Linked DNA regions of Caenorhabditis elegans. The protein of the gene in region 2 purifies or fractionates together with the protein of the main gene of each other region. This does not show direct contact. Each region holds a gene or a part of one and is shown on either strand. Other genes may lie near its edges.

Region 1 (5,639 bases), on a different chromosome or scaffold from region 2:
AACACACGCCTTTGCGCGAAATATTTTTTGTTCGCGTCGAGACCTACACAGTGAGTCTCACCTTTGAGCCAAAAGATGCATTTCTCAAAATTAGGTAAAAAATGTTTGAAAAGTCCAAATTTCGTTTCAGTCAAAAGTTTGCAAAACTCTTATTTTACTTTGTGAACCCCAGAACACCCATTAACAACAGTTCAAAGCAGGTGAACAATTTCATATATCAAGAAAAAAGAAAAAGTATTCAACATTGTACAAAGAATCAATATTTTAGTAGGACTGAAGTTGGCGAAGTGAAATGAATAAAAGTTTTGACACGGATATGAACTAGAACAAGGTTGAAGAGAAATGCAAATTGTACAGAAAATATGAGAAGGGAAATAAATATACACTAAATTGGATGCTATGAGACGGTGCAGTTGGAATTGGAATTTCTTGTTTGATGCGGCGGTGCAACTCGATTGTATTCTTCTTGTTGTAGAGAACGAGCCAGAGCTTCATCTCCCTGGAAACATTTGTGATTTAGTTAGTTGTTTTTTTGAAAATAGATACAAACCTCTGTTCTTGCTTGTGCGGAACATGGATTCATTCGGGAACGCGCGATTGATGTGATTCTGGAAAAATACCTTGAAATTCGATTTATTCAAAACAATAAACTTACGAATCCGTCCAGCTCTTTTTCTGATTTATCTTCATTTCGCCAACTTTTCGCTCACAACTGTGATCCCGCTCGTGTCTGTGAGAAAGGCAGTAGTTGTTTCGACATTTTGAGCAATTCATGGCTACCAGCTCTTTCTTCTTGCATTTTGGGACGGTACACGCGTTTGAATATACTTTTGCACGTTTCGGAGTCTGACAATTGTTCTGAATGTGCTCATTGACCTGAAAAAGAAACAATTTTTATCAATATTTTTGCAGGAATAATTTCAAAATAATTACTTGTTGATCAACATTGACATCTTTCGGCGTTGGAACTGGCTTCTCACATATAGGACAAATAGGAACTTGAACGGACTGAAATTTAATAATTTTAATCTAAAAAAAGATTTTCAAACACTTACAATTCTTGAGCCAGTCGGACAATTATGAGCCTCAAATGTGAAGTGCTCTGAGCAGTAGAAATGTCCACAACCGGAGCATTTGATTGGAAGAAAATCTGAAATAATTATTTTTTTATTTAATTAATTTTTTTTAAATGTTGACTTACCAAGTCTGTTGCAAACTGTGCTCTCACAGTGCTTTCCGAGATTTGGGAACTCCGCCATAGCTGAATAAAGCAAACGATATTGATAGGAAACGAGAGAATATAGACTTTTAAACACAAGAAATGATGACAATTGGAAAAATTCTAGAATTTACCAGAAATGCCAGACATCGGGTTACGAAATTATTGATTTTTATATATTATTGAAAGCTTTTGGACTTTTTAGAACGAGAAAAAATTGAATAATTCAATTTCAAGATTTTTGAAATCAATATCAGCTGATTCGCTAGAAAACGTGACGCTTTCAGTATTTCGTGACGTCACTGCGTACAGCTGGATTAAAGGCGCATGACATTAAACGTGCGGTGGGTCTCACAGCGAAACCGCTTTGCACCTCCTTCTCCCGCTTTTTTTGATTTTCGTCTCTCGCATTTGTCCCAAAACCTTTCATCTTTTTCTGTTTTTTCTTTCTAAATTCGATTTTTCGAACGATTTAAAAGTTGTTTTTCCCATTATTTTTCCCCCTTCTTGCACGGTGTGACGCAAAATACTCACTTGGTTATTTTGGCCCCACTTGTGTTTTATAGGGTAAAACAACCGAATTTCGTCGAAAATTTGGGTCTCTTCAATCCGTCCGTTCTCGTTTGCTACTCGTTTTCTCAGCGCTGCGAATCAATTTAAAACTTGTAATTCGTCAGCGCGTGCTTCTGTATCAAAGGAAGACGAGCCAAACGAGAGGTCTACTAATCGAAGTCGATATTTATTTTCGCAGCAGCCGTTGCACGACCAGAAGTTCGCATTTCAAACTCATATAAAAAAGACAATGGGAGACAGAGGATAGTAAGTTGACTTATCGATTATTGACGTGCATAATTGTTTTTCTTTTTCAGCGGAGGTTCTAGAAGCTATGGAGGAAGCAGCGGTGGTGGATCCCGCGGAGGATATGGAGGTGGAGGCCGTGGTGGCGGCGGCGGAGGATACAGCGGTGGTCGTGGTGGTGGATATGGAGGAGGTGGCGGTGGAGGCTACGGAGGAGGTGGTTATGGCGGCGGTGGCCGTGGAGGAGGTCGTGGAGGATCCAATGGTTCAGCTGGAGGACGCCTTCGCGATGTCGACTGGTCTGCCGAGAACCTTACTCCGATTGAGAAGGATTTCTATCACGAGAATGCAGCCGTATCCCGCCGTGAGCAGTATGAGATTGATCAATGGGTATCAGCAAATCAAGTTACTCTCGAAGGCCGTGGTGTCCCACGCCCGGTTTTCGAATTCAACGAGGCACCATTGCCAGGACAGATTCACGAGCTTTTGTACGGAAAGTTCCAGAAACCAACAGTTATTCAGTCAATCTCCTGGCCGATTGCCATGAGCGGACGTGATATTATCTCTATCGCCAAAACTGGTTCCGGAAAAACACTTGCCTTCATGCTCCCAGCTCTCGTCCACATCACAAAACAGGCTCACCGTCAACGCGGAGAAGGACCAGCCGTTCTTGTTTTGCTTCCAACTCGTGAATTGGCTCAACAAGTTCAAGAAGTATCAATCGATTTCTGCCACTCGTTAGGACTCAAGATGACCTGTCTCTTCGGAGGAGCATCCAAAGGACCACAAGCTCGTGATCTCGAGCGTGGAGTTGATATCGTTGTTGCCACTCCGGGACGTCTTCTCGATTTCCTTGATAACGGAACTACCAACATGAAGAAGTGCTCTTACTTGGTTCTTGATGAAGCCGATCGTATGCTTGATATGGGTTTCGAACCACAAATCAAGAAAATCATCGGACAGATTCGCGTAAGTTGAATCTGTTGTAATTGTGTTTTAATATATATTTTTTCAGCCAGACAGACAAACACTCATGTTCTCCGCCACATGGCCAAAGGAAGTTCGTGCGTTGGCTTCAGATTTCCAGAAAGACGCTGCTTTCCTCAACGTCGGATCCCTTGAGCTCGCTGCCAATCACAACATCACACAAGTCGTCGATATTCTCGAAGAACATGCAAAGCAAGCCAAACTCATGGAGCTCCTCAATCATATCATGAATCAAAAGGAATGCAAAACCATTATTTTTGTTGAGACAAAGCGGAAAGCCGATGAATTGACTCGTGCTATGCGTCGCGATGGATGGCCAACTCTCTGTATTCACGGTGACAAAAACCAAGGAGAAAGAGACTGGGTTCTTCAAGGTTAGTTAAAGTTACCAATTATTTTGTTATAAATACATTTTTCAGAATTCAAAGCAGGAAAAACACCAATCATGTTGGCCACCGATGTTGCCGCGCGTGGATTGGGTTAGTTTGTCGCGCCAACCTAGAAAGGGTCAAATTTTAGATGTCACATATTAGAAAAGTCGGTTTCAGGAGTTTCTGGCTTCCAGTTTTCTTGACAATCGTTACAATAGCATGGTATTCAGCCATATTTGTGATTTATTTGACCCTTTACAGTTACACCAACTTGATTTGGCCGAGAGGATTGATCGAAATGCAATGCAGTTGATTTTGGCAGCGTCTTGTGACGTTATCATATCATACGTTGCAGATGTGTAGTGGCAGAGAGTACCTTCTGGTGCTCTGTGAATGAAATCTACACATCGAGTCGAAGAAAGCGGTTCAGTTTCGCAAGCCGCCAGTATTGCAGTCATATACATTGAGTGCTGTTGTGGCTTGTGCAGGCTGTTCCGATGACTCATCAGTGACTCCGTCGAATTTTTCTCCTCTTCCCCATTCCCATCTTTAGAATTCTGGGTTCAGGTGCGTAAGTACGTATAGCTTAGTCAGAGTTGTATCGGCGGTCTCCCTGTGGTGATTGCTCTCAACCTGGTGAACTAGGTTTTATACGCATCTGGAACCTGTTAATAATTAAAAAATTATTGGAATGGATTTATTTCCCGGCTTATCCGGAGAGAGGAGTTTAAATGGCAATTCACTGTTTCGGTTCACTCGTGTTTATTCTTCTTGGTTCACCTGGTTGAGAGAAAGCGTCGTTCACGCTTTTTGCTCTAATTTGTTTTACAGTAATTTTAATTTAACAATTTTAGATGTCGATGATATCAAATTCGTGATCAACTATGATTATCCAAACAACTCTGAAGACTATGTTCACAGAATCGGTCGTACTGGTCGTAGTGACAAAAAGGTAAATTAGTAGAGAAAATTCAATATTTCATGATTTGTTTTTCAGGGAACCGCCTACACTTTCTTCACTCATACAAACGCTTCCAAGGCAAAGGATCTGTTGAAGGTTCTCGATGAGGCTAAGCAGACTGTTCCACAAGCTCTTCGTGATATGGCAAACCGCAGTTACGGAGGTAGCAACTCAAGGGGTCGCTATGGAGGTGGTGGTTTCCAGAAGAGAGGATACGGAGGAAACGATAACTTTGCTCCAAAGAGGCCACGGTACGTGTTTTTGTGATTAGAAATAAAAAAGTGGAATATGATAACGGATTTTTGAAATCGCACCTAATTTCGAATAAAATTAAATCCTGTAATTTTCAGATATGACAACGGAGGATACGGTGGAGGCAGCGGTGGAGGTGGCCGATGGTAGACGATCTACATATCTTCTCACTCACTTCCGACATTTAAACGATAATTCAGATCTCGTTCGTTCGGTTTTAATGGAACTCTGAACTTCTCCTCATTTTTATTCTTTTTTACTTTTTACTTTCTTACTCTTTGTTTTTTTGAGCGTTGTGCCCATATTTTATTTTTGTTTTAATCAGTAACTGTCATCTCCCTCCAAACTTTTAATAATATCCATCTAGTTTTATCATTGCGTTTTGTGTAACTCGGCTGCAATGGAAACAGTTTTGTTTCAAAGATTGTTTCTTTAATATAAGATCTTTTGAAGAAAATAAATATTGATGTTGATGGAAAAAATTGAAATATATTTTTGTGTTTTGGCTGTTGTCCCCCACTTTTCCTGTTTGCTCTTTGTCTTTTCCTATTGTTGGCACGCGGATTTCTTGTTTTTCATTTTTGTATCCTTAAAACGACACAGGCTCTTCAGGTTCTGTGTTCGTCAGTTCTTGTAGGCATTGAAATTCTTCTTCTCGAGACCTTCTTTTCTATTAATTCAGTCTATTCTATTGCAATCGATATGTGAAAAGTGAGAGATAGATGGGCGGCATTGAAGTACAGTTTTCTCGTTGGCGGGGCGCCACAGACAATTGATCTTTTGTAGAGACGATTGCGTCAGTTTTTAGGCCAATCGCATTTTTTTCCTTGCAAACTTGAACAAAAAACTGACATGATCGTTTCGAGACCCAATGGCAATTGACAGATGTGTACCGGAAGTGGAAGCTTTTTGTTCTCGAACATGGTGAGCAAACAACTCTTTTTGCAGTAGAGCTTGTATATTATATGTTTATAAACTAAGTTTTTCATTAATATAAAGCTAAAAGTATTTAGAGAATTTATTTCAAAATATTTCTGTAATTTTAAAAATA
Region 2 (4,524 bases):
ATTACAGAATTATTTTAATTTAGATGCTTCTGGAAATTGAGAAGAATGAAAAGTCGAGCTTTGATGACGTCATCACGGGTGCCGAATCGGATAATGGTTGGGAGGATTGTTTGAGAGAAACTGAAAGTGTTCAAAGTCAATGGATCACTGAACAATCCACCATTGCTTATCCAGAAACTACACGTGTCAATTGTGATGGTCCACAAAGTTATTATGAATTGGCTGATTTGAATTATAAGCCAGCAGAGAATACTGTTCGTTTGGCTCGTGTCCCATCACAGTACCAACTTGATGCTTTGTCCGAGATTTTCGTTTTCGATGTTCCTCAACATATTGCCGTTAAAAAAGTTGAAGCTTCATTTCTGCCGAAATATGTGAACACGAGTTCCGAGGTTGCCCAGAATTCTGTGAACACGACGCCATACTTTGTGAATTCGGAGTACGTTTCTGAGATGTTGTGCAATGAATACTCGGAAACTTACTAACTTTTTGTGCCTCTTGTCTTACCAATTCTTGAGAATGAACTAGTTTTTTAGTCGATTTAATTTCAGGTTTTTTATTCAGAGATTGTAGAATTGCATTATTAAAAATACAGCATAAAATCGCAAAGTGCGTCGACATGAAAATTGTAGGGGTCTAGTAAATGTGAGAGAACAATACTAATGACAAATTGTCAGACAAGAAAATTGAGAAAAGTGTAGAAAAATATGAATAATAACGATTTTTCGAGAGAATCACCATCCTGGTCCTCTCGAGTCTCCAGGTGCCCAGTATCTCCTCTCGAGGGGAGAATTTTGCTGACGGTATGAGTAATCTTGTGGTGGGCGGACGAATGGCATGGGCAGAGGTGCTTCATTTTGAATCGGTCGTCTATCCGGTCGATCACGTTCTCTGCGGTTACGGTAGCCAGCTGGAAGGCCATAATCAGGGCCAACTGATTGATTATTCTCTTCTCGAGGCTGTGCGATGCTCAATCCAACTGATAAACCGTTGACAGTTAGCGATCCTTTGCTGAAAATTATATTTCTTACTAGAATGAAAAATATGAGTGCTTAAAAGTGATGCTACACCGGAGACAGTTATTTTTAACAGGTTTTCCAAAAAATTAGCAATACCTGACAATTCTTTCCGCGGCTTCGGCGCTCGACAGCGTAACGAATGCAAAGCCTCTGAATGGTTTTGGGATGAACACATCGGTAACTACTGCAGTCTCTATATAGCTTTTTGCTTCATCTCCAAACACTTTTCGCAGTTGATGTTCGTCTACTTTGTCTGTGAGCCTTCCGACAAAAATTCGACTGATTGATGGACGACCTTGTTTGTCCTGCAAACTCTGCTCAACTTATTAGTTTTAATTGATCAGTATAATAACATACCCTTCCATCTGGAACTTTCACATCACAACGACGACCATCAATCATGTGCTGTGGGATAGCTAATACTTTATTTTGTTCACCGACTGATGACATTCTGACAAATCCAAATCCTTTTGAGTTTCCATCCGACTTTCGTTTTATCTGAAGAAGAATATTGAATATGTATTTTTAATGGAACCTATGTGAACTTAATTCTCTCACTTTCAGATTCCTTCACTCATCTCACGAACCTCACAGAACACAACAGTTCCTATATCTTCGAAGTATTTCTGAAAGCACTCGTCAGTCGTTTTGAAGTCCACACCGAGCACGATGAGGTCAACTGGCTGGCTGTCTCTCTCAACCGCTCTCTTCCTGCCCGAACGTCCGTCACGACCGTCATCCGAATCCGAGTCGTCACTCGATCCCACTTTACGTCTCTTCGCACTCGTCGCGTCAGCTGATGACAACGCTCTGACTCTCTCGCTCTCTGAATCACACTACGTCACTCGAACGTCTTCACTCAGACTGTCACATAAACCGTCTCTACTCAAAAGCTTGAATTTTGGTGAAACTAGTTAATATAAAACAAAAACAACTTACGCGGGGCAACAATAACGAAGAACGTTTTATTTTCCCAGCCGTCAGCTGGAGCAATTAATTTCAAACCACTGGGATCGACTCTGGAAAATAAAATAAATTTTAAGTCAGTATACCTCCACCAAGCACTCACTGAACAGCTCGGTTGGCTCCAGTTTTTGGATTTTTGTACTTCAAACCAGTAGCACCCGGAAACGATGCTTGCAATGTAGTCATCAAGACAACACCATCAACGGTAGGAAGTTCTATTGGCTCATCTCCATTTGGATCTTGTACTGTGATGAATTCCGGGTCCGTGGTTTTCTTTTCGTCACTCCCAGTTTGTGTCTGGAAAACATGAACATGGGATATTAGCAACTGTACGAATTATTATTAACTTACCAGTTCTGCCTCTTTTCGAATTTCCTTAACTTCATCCAAGGGTGATTTAACCTCGGCCGCAGGTTCTGTTTTAACCTTCGGCGTTTCGTCGGCCATTTAGTGACTGGAAACAGATATATTTGAAATAATAACAAATTTACTAAAATAATGAATTATTTGTATCTATTTTTAATCAATAAAACCAATAAATTGAGCCAAAAATCTCCGAGCAAAAATCTTGTAAATTAATTACACAAATGGTGTGCAAACACCATGACGCACATATGCACACATTTTCACACCGTACCTCTCAGAAACTAGGCGTCTCTGAATTACAAAAAAAACCTTCTTTTGCCCATTAATGATCATTTTATTCTCTGAAACTTGACAATTGACTATTATTCAAACATGGAAGGTGACAAAAATGTGGTGATGAGTTCAAAACCGACAGGGAAAGCCAATTGGAAAATAAAGTAAGTGTTGTTCACCAGCGTTAAAATTAAAATTATTAACTTTCAGATTCCACAAAATTCTGTCATATCCTATGAAAAGAACTGGTCCTGCAATTGTAGCTTCAACGCTTCTCTACATAGTAATGTACAATGTTGGAGTCCGGTAATAAAACATTGTAATTGATTCATTTTTAACTGAAATACTTATTTCAGGTGGTGGAAAGGCGACAAACATCCAGTAAATCGGTTTATGTGGAAGATACAAGAACAAGAAGGAAGGCTAGATCCTACTCTTCAAGCGAAAAAACAAGTTGTAAGACTAAATTTCCGCTCGAAATAGTTTTTCATTCGTCTTTTTTCAGGTTCTTTCCTACCAAGAAGAGCGAGTTTATCGTCCACGAGACAATGTGCCGGACCTTGGAATAGTTTAGGTTATTTGGTTATAGATTAGAAATAAATAATTATATTTTTAAAATGTTCGTATTCGAAGCCACTTTATTGAATTACAATCAGGCATACAGGAAACGGTTAAAAATAAAAGTCAAGTCGTTTCAAGAAGAATGAGACTATGAATGAACTAAAAACATTCTGTCAACTATTTATCGATAAGTTCCATATTCTTTCTTGTGGTTGCCCCAGTATTCTGGATCTTCGGCAGAATCCTTTGGAATTCCGAGCTCTTCATCCGTGAACTCGCTCAAGTATGGCATGTACCAATGTCCCAAGAGATGGCCAGAATGATAGTACATGTGGTACGAGAACCACGCCCAAATGACAGCTGAGATGAAATAGGTTACACAACGATCGATGTAGGTTCGACCAGTTGTTGGAGTACGGTAGAAGTAATCTGGAATTGGCTTATCCCCCTTCGAGATGGTACCGCGGTAGTCTCCATCATAGGTGTGCAATTCTGGATTCTCCGAAGCTCCCATCTTTCCTCCAACTGGAACATTTGGACCAACAGCATCAGATCCCCAAGCAAATCGATTTCTAGAATAAAAAATAAATCTATACTATTCGGAAAGAAAATTTACCGAACAAAAGTCAGACGAGATGGGGAATTGACGAGTCCTCGATTGCGGAGGTGCTGCAGAGCCAACTGAGCAACGAATTTGTTCCCCAACATGGTCAGAACCTGAATAAATTCTGCGAATATATATAATAATAAAATATCATCAGAATAGATAATTATCGGTCAGAAACCTTAGAGGTAACAGTTTAAAAAAATTGCATCAAATTATATTATTCAATAACATCAACAAAACAACAAAATAAAAGCAGTAACAAAGATGATAGGGTTGCATGGGAGAGATTGAGATATTTGTTCAAAACTTCAAAAACCTTAGTAAGGATAAAATTGGGGCTTCGAATTTTTTTGCAACCTTTGAAAAACGAATAATAGTAATCAGAGGAAGAAACGACGACGACTGGTTTCCATTTCGTGTCTCTGAAATTTTTAATAATTTTCATTCAATTAATTTTAAATAAATCCATACCTTGAGGACCCATTCGAATTCTCCCCACTTTGCGTCGAAAGTACCCTTCTGTAGCCACTTAAGTCTTAATGTGAATCGAGGACCCAACTCCAGAAGCGCTGCTTTTGAACCTTCCTTTTTGAATTCGTATCTGAAATTTTTAGATATTCGATTGAAATAAACATGATTCACCTACCTATGATGTCTGAAAAAGATGTAATCTCTCTGATTGTGGAATGTTACAACTCTGCGTCCAGTGAATTTTGGATCGTGTGGAAAGAG

What was found.
Region 1: the proteins of tdp-1 (region 2) and ddx-17 fractionate together in Caenorhabditis elegans (co-fractionation; one large-scale study listed by BioGRID). This does not show direct contact.

The regions. Positions count from the first base shown.
Region 1 is NC_003283.11:14,008,199-14,013,837, reverse strand, and holds ddx-17 (RNA helicase), read left to right. Parts: upstream 1-1,896; 5' UTR 1,897-2,021; coding exon 2,022-2,038; intron 2,039-2,088; coding exon 2,089-2,986; intron 2,987-3,032; coding exon 3,033-3,378; intron 3,379-3,423; coding exon 3,424-3,483; intron 3,484-3,636; exon of another isoform or gene 3,637-3,942; intron 3,943-4,229; coding exon 4,230-4,327; intron 4,328-4,372; coding exon 4,373-4,587; intron 4,588-4,686; coding exon 4,687-4,738; 3' UTR 4,739-5,067; downstream 5,068-5,639. Other genes in the region: aip-1 (AN1-type domain-containing protein), read right to left, coding at 398-499, 551-608, 656-876, 934-1,008, 1,056-1,150, 1,202-1,259.
Region 2 is NC_003280.10:8,995,742-9,000,265, reverse strand, and holds tdp-1 (Tar DNA-binding protein homolog 1), read right to left. Parts: upstream 2,442-4,524; 5' UTR 2,433-2,441; coding exon 2,337-2,432; intron 2,283-2,336; coding exon 2,089-2,282; intron 2,039-2,088; coding exon 1,959-2,038; intron 1,856-1,958; exon of another isoform or gene 1,846-1,855; coding exon 1,607-1,845; intron 1,518-1,606; coding exon 1,377-1,517; intron 1,334-1,376; coding exon 1,116-1,333; intron 1,012-1,115; coding exon 735-1,011; 3' UTR 544-734; downstream 1-543. Other genes in the region: F44G4.5 (uncharacterized protein), read left to right, coding at 24-485; F44G4.3 (uncharacterized protein), read left to right, coding at 2,724-2,788, 2,835-2,930, 2,981-3,080, 3,130-3,198; ndub-2 (putative NADH dehydrogenase [ubiquinone] 1 beta subcomplex subunit 2, mitochondrial), read right to left, coding at 3,367-3,757, 3,802-3,893; Brix domain-containing protein F44G4.1, read right to left, coding at 4,173-4,214, 4,264-4,393, 4,439-4,524. UniProt on the Caenorhabditis elegans protein: RNA-binding protein which regulates transcription, splicing and RNA-editing. Limits the accumulation of double-stranded RNA by maintaining the abundance of the mature RNA transcripts that are formed from double-stranded precursor RNAs.